Alligator mississippiensis: one gene and its partner. The protein of the gene in region 1 interacts with the protein of each later gene in a pairwise test. Links are inferred from orthologs where the notes say so. Each region holds a gene or a part of one and is shown in the gene's direction. Other genes may lie near its edges.

The links.
Region 2: the proteins of AAMP (region 1) and AEN interact in binary tests that used the Homo sapiens proteins (3 or more experiments, as listed by UniProt). The link is inferred for Alligator mississippiensis from reciprocal best matches to the Homo sapiens genes AAMP and AEN.

What each region holds. Positions count from the first base shown.
Region 1 is NC_081827.1:253,655,041-253,658,783, reverse strand, and holds the start of AAMP (angio-associated migratory cell protein), read left to right. Parts: upstream 1-962; 5' UTR 963-1,051; coding exon 1,052-1,154; intron 1,155-1,427; coding exon 1,428-1,595; intron 1,596-1,674; coding exon 1,675-1,794; intron 1,795-1,895; coding exon 1,896-2,035; intron 2,036-2,156; coding exon 2,157-2,301; intron 2,302-2,473; coding exon 2,474-2,557; intron 2,558-2,651; coding exon 2,652-2,767; intron 2,768-3,086; coding exon 3,087-3,190; intron 3,191-3,390; coding exon 3,391-3,481; intron 3,482-3,717; coding exon of another isoform or gene 3,718-3,743. Other genes in the region: probable hydrolase PNKD, read right to left, coding at 1-113, 752-845. UniProt on the Homo sapiens protein: Plays a role in angiogenesis and cell migration. In smooth muscle cell migration, may act through the RhoA pathway.
Region 2 is NC_081834.1:14,261,357-14,265,099, forward strand, and holds the start of AEN (apoptosis-enhancing nuclease), read left to right. Parts: upstream 1-1,307; 5' UTR 1,308-1,379; intron 1,380-1,690; 5' UTR 1,691-1,691; coding exon 1,692-2,483; intron 2,484-3,024; coding exon 3,025-3,225; intron 3,226-3,443; coding exon 3,444-3,641; 3' UTR 3,642-3,743. UniProt on the Homo sapiens protein: Exonuclease with activity against single- and double-stranded DNA and RNA. Mediates p53-induced apoptosis.

The sequences.
Region 1 (3,743 bases):
GATGGGTGGCGGCCCCGCGGGGTCCGGCCTGGTCTGCATCTCTGCTGAAGCCTGTGAGCGGCAGGGCTGTGGTGTGCGGACACCGGTGCGGCGCGCCGCCGCGGAGAAGAAGCCTGCACAAGGGGGGAGCAGGGTCACGGGCACACGTAATGTTGAACCCGCATTACAGCGCTGCCACACCGGAGGCAGTGGGGCAGTCGTCGGGGCGGGGATGCCACCCCACAGCTCCCTGCTGGGAGTTAAGGCCCCCGCCGCACCTTACATTTGTTACACAAATTGACTGGTGAATCGCGCAATAAATGTAGACGGGCCCCAGGCCGTCACTGCCCGGACACGTGTAACGCCCCAGAGCCGGGCGGCACATGTTACATACGTGATGCTGTGGACGGGCGACTCGTGTGATAAACGCTGAGCGGAGCTGAGGGCAGGACGCACGGGGGACACGGCTGTGCTGGACGGGACCCCCAGCCCCCTCCCTCCACCTGGTCTGACCTGGGCCTGGCCCAGGCAAAGCGGGGCAGCGCCTTGCTGCAGCGGGGGAAACTGAGGCAGGGGGTGGGCCCTGCAGAGCCCCGATCCGGCGGCGCTCGTGCGCAGGCGCAGGGCCGGCCTCTCCCGAGAAGCTATCGCAGGAGAAACGCGGACAGTCGCGGCCCGCATTAGTGCGCATGCGCAGTACCCCCCAAACCCTTAAGGCTTTCATGCGGAGTTGGGGTGGGCGCTATCCCGGGGCTCCCCGCGCCGCACTCACCCCGCAGCCCGGCCGCCGCCATGTTGCCCCTGCGCCGTCCCGACACACCCCGCGCGGCGGCCGAAGGCGGATCGGGGACTACACTCCCCAGCATGCCCCGCGGCCTCGCGTATGGCGCGGAGGACAACCTACCCTGTTGCGGGAGGGGCAGGGCCCGGGCGATGACGCGCCTGCGGATTGGCTGCAGCGGCCCTTTCCTCGCTCGCCATTGGCGGAGCCGCGCCCTCCCCTTCCCACCGCGCCCTGCTCCGGCGCTGAGGGGAACGCGGCCCAGCCCGGCGCGGCGCAGCGCAGCGCAGCATGGAGCCCGCCGGCGGCCCCGGCCCCGGCCCCGGCCCCGCAATGCTCTTCCACGGCGACGAGGAGATCATCGAGGTGGTGGAGCTGGGCCCGCCCGGCCCCGGTGAGCGCCCGCGGGGTCACGATCGACCCCTCCTCCCCCCGCCCCCCGCGGGGTCACGCCCCGCCCCCCGCGGGGTCACGACCTCCCCCCCGCGGGGTCACGCCCCGCCCCCCACGGGGTCACGCCCCTCCCCCATGCCCTCAGTTGGGGGGGTGCGTACCCTCCCCCACCTCTGCCCCTCCCCCGCCCCTCATGGGGGTCACGCCCCTCCCCCACCTTGCGGGGGGGCGCCCCCCAGTGCTGCAGGCTCTGACCGCGGACCCCCCCCCGCAGACGAGCTGGCGGCCGAGATGCAGGACGTGGACGTGGACGCGGACGCAGACGAGGGGCCGGAGGACGAGGCCTGGGACACGGAGGAGGAAGAGGAGGAGGGGGGGGGTGCGCGGCACGGCGGCCCCCCCGCCCCCGACGACAGCGAGGTCACCTTCGCCCGGCACTCGGGTGAGCCCCGTCCCCGCACGTCCCCGCGCCGCGCCGTGCCGCGCCGTGCACTGACGGACGTGCGGCCGTGTCCCCCCAGCCTCCGTGTTCTGCGTGAGCCTGGACCCGCGCACCAACACGCTGGCGGTGACGGGCGGCGAGGACGACCAGGCGTTCGTGTGGCGGCTGAGCGACGGGGAGCTGCTCTTCCAGTGCTCGGGTGAGGCGCCCGCGGCCGCGCCGCCCCGGGCGGGGGTGGACGGGGCCGCCCCCCCTCCCCCCGCGGCCCCCGCGCCAGCTGCCCCCTCTCCGCCCCCGCAGGTCACAAGGATTCGGTCACCTGCGCCGGCTTCAGCCACGACTCGGTGTTCGTGGCCACGGGGGACATGAGCGGGCTGATCAAGGTGTGGCGCGTGGACACCAAGGAGGAGGTCTGGTCCTTCGAAGTGGGGGACTTGGAGGTGAGAGTTGGGGGGCCGGGCAGCGGGGAGGGGGTGCAGGCCGAGGGCCCGGTCCCCTCGCCCCGCCCCGCCCCGCCCCGCGTGGTGCCTGGGCTCCATGCGTCCTCCTCCCTCTGCCCAGTGGATGGAGTGGCACCCCCAGGCCCACGTCCTGCTGGCGGGCACGGCCGACGGCAACTCCTGGATGTGGAAGATCCCGGGCGGAGACTGCAAGACTTTCCAGGGCCCGAGCTGCCCGGCCACCTGCGGCAAGGTTCTCCCCGACGGTGCGGGCTGCCTTGCCTTGCCCCCAGTGCGGCGCGGCCGGGGGAGGGCGTCAGGGCATCGGCGGTGCTCGTTGGGGGTGGCCCCTGCGGCGTGCGGCGGGGAGGGTGTCCCCGGGCGTGCGGGGGTGGGTCTTGGGGGTGATGAGAGCCGCGAGCCCCTCTCTCCGTCCAGGGAAGACAGCGGTGGTCGGCTACGAGGACGGCACCGTGCGCGTCTGGGACCTGAAGCAGGGCAGCTCGATCCACGTCCTCAAAGGTAGGCAGGGCTTGTCCCAACCTGGGGCTGGGGTCGGGTTTGAGGGCCGTTGGGAGTGGCGGTGCCGTGGGGGCTCACCCCAGGTCCTCCCCAGGCCAGGACGGGCACCAGGGCCCCCTGACGTGTGTGGCCAGCAGTAAGGACGGCAGCCTGGTCCTGACGGGCTCTGTGGACTGCCAGGCGAAGCTGGTGAACGCCGCCACCGGCAAGGTGAGTCTGTGTCATCTTGGGACTGAGTTGGGGGGACACCCCTGGGTGGGGGTCTCTGCTGATGTGCTGCCCCAGGAGCCTTCTGCATGCACTGCTGCCCCAGGAGTGTACTGCATGCACTGCTGGCAGCGGGGCCAACATGCTGGGGTGCACCCTTGGCCCAAGGCAGCTCATCCCCGCTTGCTGGAGCCCTCGGAGGGGGGGGTTGTGGCCGTATTCCTGGGGGTGGCATGGCCCAGGGCCCCCTTGCAACGTGGTGCCCCTGCCATGGGATCCCCGCTGGGCTACCGAGTCCCCGGCTGACAGGCGTGTGCCGCAGGTGGTGTGCGTGTTCCAGGAGGGGAGCGCCGCCCCGCAGACCCCAGCCGGGGCGGCCGAGGAGCCCGAGTCGAACTCCGTGGAGTCGCTGGGCTTCTGCAATGTGTGAGTGCGGGGGTCAGGGTCGGGGTCCTGGCCATGGGGTGGTGGGTGTTGGCAGCCAGGAGTCACGTGATCTCTGCCCTTTGCCTGGGCTACCCTTGACCGCTGCATGGAGCAGGGGCTCTGCCTGTGACTTCCCCCCTCAGCTGCAGTGGTAGTCTCTGCCCCTGCTGCCCCCGTAACAGCTTCCCCCGGCCCCCCAGGATGCCACTGGCCGCCGTGGGCTACCTGGACGGGACGCTGGCCATCTACGACCTCTCCACGCAGAGCCTGCGGCACAAGTGCCAGCACGAGGTATGGGGCGGGCTGCCTGGGGGCTGGGCCTGCTGCTTCCACGTGCCCCTGGCTGGGGGGTTCCTTGACTATCCCACAGGGGAAGGCTGCGCCTAAGCCCCCTGCCCCCGCTCTGCGCCTAAGCCCCCTGGATCCTGTCTCTGGAGGGGGTCATTTTCTGCATCTTCCTGGGGTCCCGGTGGGGGCTGGCCTTGCTGCACCTCGAGGCAGTGACCCCTTGGCAGGGGCTCCCCCAGCTGGCCCTGGCGCCCCGGGGGCTGCG
Region 2 (3,743 bases), on another chromosome or scaffold:
TGGTCTGTGGGGGTGGATCTACTATGATTTTACTATGCTCACGCAGCGTGCGGCTTTGCTGGATTAGCTGCAACCTTGAGAGAAGCACTTTGTTAGGGTGACAATACCAGTCCTCCTCCACCAGGGAAGAGCACTTAATGTAGCTGTAGCCATAGTTATTACCCTGGCACCCCCTTCTCTCCCTCATCCCCCATTCAGTCCCTCTTAGTTTGGTGCAATGCTCCTTGCTGTTTGGCTTAGGTTGCTTGGGAAACACCCAAAGTAAAAGCAGGGAAAGACACTTGCTTCAGAATAAAAACTCCCACCCTATAAAGCCTGCGTGTGTTGTGGGAGATTCCACTGATGTAACCGGGTGCAAGTAGAAGTCTGTTGTGCAGAGCTGTTACACCAACAGGTATAGACACTGGCCTTTATAATCACAGCTGGATTATACAAGTCTCTCTTCCCAAGTGCTAACAGAGTTGTGTTCTGGGCACGTGCAGTGCCTTACACCGTGGGGCTCTGGTCTGCCATGGAGTGTGATACCCATGCCTTTTTTTTTTTTTTTTAAGGAAAATTTTTCGCATCCCAAGTCAAATCAGCCAAATCAATTCCAAACCCAGGAGTCATTCAAGAACCGTATGTTGCCTTACTACGAGCAAGCATGCTCCACCCCCACCTGGGGCTTCAGAGGCTTCCAAATCCTTTGGCAGACATCCTAGTGCAGGCCTAAGGTGTGGATGTCCAGGGTTTGGCTTGGGATTTGGCTGCCCCTGGGTTTTGTTTGCCTTCAGCCATATGGCTAGGGAGGAGTCTCCCATTGCCATAAAGTCAGCATATAGCCAAGATCTTCCCACTGGGGGTGAAAGTGGGAGACTAAATATGCATTACCTGGGTCCCTGCCAAGAAAGTGGCTTTCCCCTGCAACACTTACTGATCATTATGGATCATCTGGCTACTCCTCAAAGCCAGACAGGCATCCTACCAGCAAGCCCCAGGGCCAGAGACAGCCCAGGGGGTAGCCCCTGTGCAGAGCAGAGCAGACCAGCCCCGTCTGCTCGCTGCCCCTCACTTCCCTCTGCCTGAGCCCTAAGATGCAGCCTCCCACGGCTGCTGCCCAGAGGTCCCCAGCAGCCCCTTCCACCCTGGGACACCCCGGCTACAAGCCTCAGGCATGGGGCTGTCCCAGCCGGGCCCAGCGCAGGGCGCGCTCCGAACACCCGCCCGGAATTCCCGGGAAAAAAAGCCCCTCCCCGCCCTTTATGCAGATCAGCCCGGCCCGGGAGCCAATGGGGCGGCTCGGGGCGGGGCGGAGCGCGGGACTTGCCCGGGCATGTGGCAGCCATTGCCACAGCTAGTTCCGGGATAGACACGTGTAGCCGGCGCGGCGCGGGTCCGAGGTGGGTTTGGGGCAGGGGGGTGGGGCAGGGCTCGGAGCAATGATCTCGTTCCCCGTGTGGGTGTTTTAATGAGCTAAGGGCAGATCCGGCTCCCAGGGCTGGGCTGGGCTGGGGGGTGCCCGTGGCAGTGCCACCTGTTTCCCCCCCACTTGCTGTGGGAGTCCCCCAGGCCATGTGACTGCTGTGGGTTAGGCTGGCCCCATGCCCATAGCACAGCAGCTCCGGGGTTCCCCTGGGGGATGGGACAGGGGTGAGGTGTCTCCTGGTTGCCCATGCACTGACTAACCTGTTGCCCTGGCTGGCTTTGGCAGGATGCCTGCTGGCAAGGGGCAAGCACCAGGTGTCCTGAGGCCAGTGAAGGCCTGCAGGCTGGGGCAGAAGGAGTCCGAGGGCCGGTTCCTGGAGTACTACTATGCCAAGCGGGACCTGTGCTGTGCCCAGTCCAAAGCCCAGCCGTGCCTCCCAGCGGAGGCTGACAGTCAGGCCTTGCAGATTCAGGCTAAGAAGAAGAGCCGGAAGCACCAGCGGTTTATGAAGCGCAGGGCTCTGCTGGAGCAGAGGGGGCTCCTGGGACCCAAGCTGGGACAAAAGGTCCAGCCAGTTATACTCCAGCTGCCAGAAGCAGATATGGCACAGGAGCCACTCACCAAGAAAACGGGCAGCTGTGGGCAGCCAGCATCCATGGTGCGTGAGCAGCCTGCAGGAGAAACCCATGCCAAGCTCACCAAGCCGAAGCAGGTGCGGTCACAGGCTGAGTCAGACAGTCCTGAGGGCCCAGCGGGGCAGCGCCTCCTCTCACCACCCCAGGATTTGGCATGTAGATTATCTTTGCCTGCAAGCTCCAAGTCAGGCAGAGTTTCCTTGTCCTGGTCACTCCAGAGACCTTGGAAATATGTAGCCATTGACTGCGAGATGGTGGGCACGGGTCCTGGTGGGAAGCTGAGTGAGCTGGCACGATGCACAGTAGTCAGCTACAACGGAGATGTTGTCTATGACAAATATATCCGGCCGGAGCTCCCCATTGTGGACTACAGGACTCCGTGGAGTGGGATCACCAAGCGGCACATGCAGAACGCTACCCCATTCAAAGCTGCGCAGAGAGAGGTAAGCATGGGGGTAGGGTGGGGAGGTCTCGCTTTGTTTCCTCTTAGGGCAGGTGGGATGAAACTGCTCTTCCTTCAGCAGGACCCTGGGATGTTGCTGTTCTGACAACGGCAGGCAGGGAGGCTTTGTCACCTGTCCTCCTTCCAGGCTCACTGGGGAGCTCTTCAAAACCCCAGCACAGTAGAGGCATGATTGGTGTGGGACCTGTCAACTCCTGACCACCCAGTCCTGGCTCTGAGTCTGGCTTGCTGCATGTCAGCCTAAAGCAGGATGCTCTGCATGTCTAGGCTGCTTCTCCTCATGCACCATTATCTCTGCCTTCCACTTCTCTCTTACTATTTTTTAACCTGCCCTGGAGGGTGCAGCAAGACAGCTTCTCTGAAACATTTGTCCCTGCTTCACTGTAGCATGTGTCTGGATAGTCATTGGAGGGCTTTTGGGATTGATTTCCTTAGGAAGCCTGACTAGATAAACCAGTCAGTGCAGCAGAGGGTTCTACTTTGGCTTTGCTGCCCAACTCACCTCCCTCTGACACTTCCAGGTCCTGCAGATCCTGAAAGACAAGATCGTGGTGGGCCATGCCATACATAATGACTTCCAAGCCCTCAAATATTTTCACCCCAAAGAGCAGACTCGAGATACCAGTCGGATCCCTTTGCTGAACCAGAAGGCAGGATTCCCCTTGAAAGCCAGCGTCTCTCTCAAGAGTCTGGCAAGGCAGCTGCTGCATACAAGAATTCAGGTGAGTGGTTCTGTACCTCCCAGGGGTGTTGTAAGGGCAGTACTTGGCTGATGTGGGCCAAATACGCATAGAAGCTAGAGGTGTAGATGTGGGTGGAGGCCTGGTTGTATTTGAATCTGGTCCAACAAAACCGGCTGGATAAGTAGTGTATGAGAGCTTAGCGTGCAGGATCTTTGCTGACTGTCCACTCTAACGTGGCTCTCTTCCTTTGCTGTCAGGTTGGCCGGAGAGGGCACTCGTCGGTGGAAGATGCTCAGACATCCATGGAGCTCTACAGACTGGTGGAGGAAGAGTGGGAGCAGAAACTTGCCAGCAGCCTTCCTCACAGTTTCCCTAGCAGCCCTACAGACAGTAATACAGACAGCAACCACTACCTGGATGACCAGTACTGGCCCACGGACCTGAACATTGATTGAATTTGATGTTAGAGACCAGGCATTTCTCCTTAAGGTGCTTTGAGATGTTCTCAGGCCTTCAGTTTGTAAGCTGAAACCAGTCGTTGGCTTCTATTTAACACC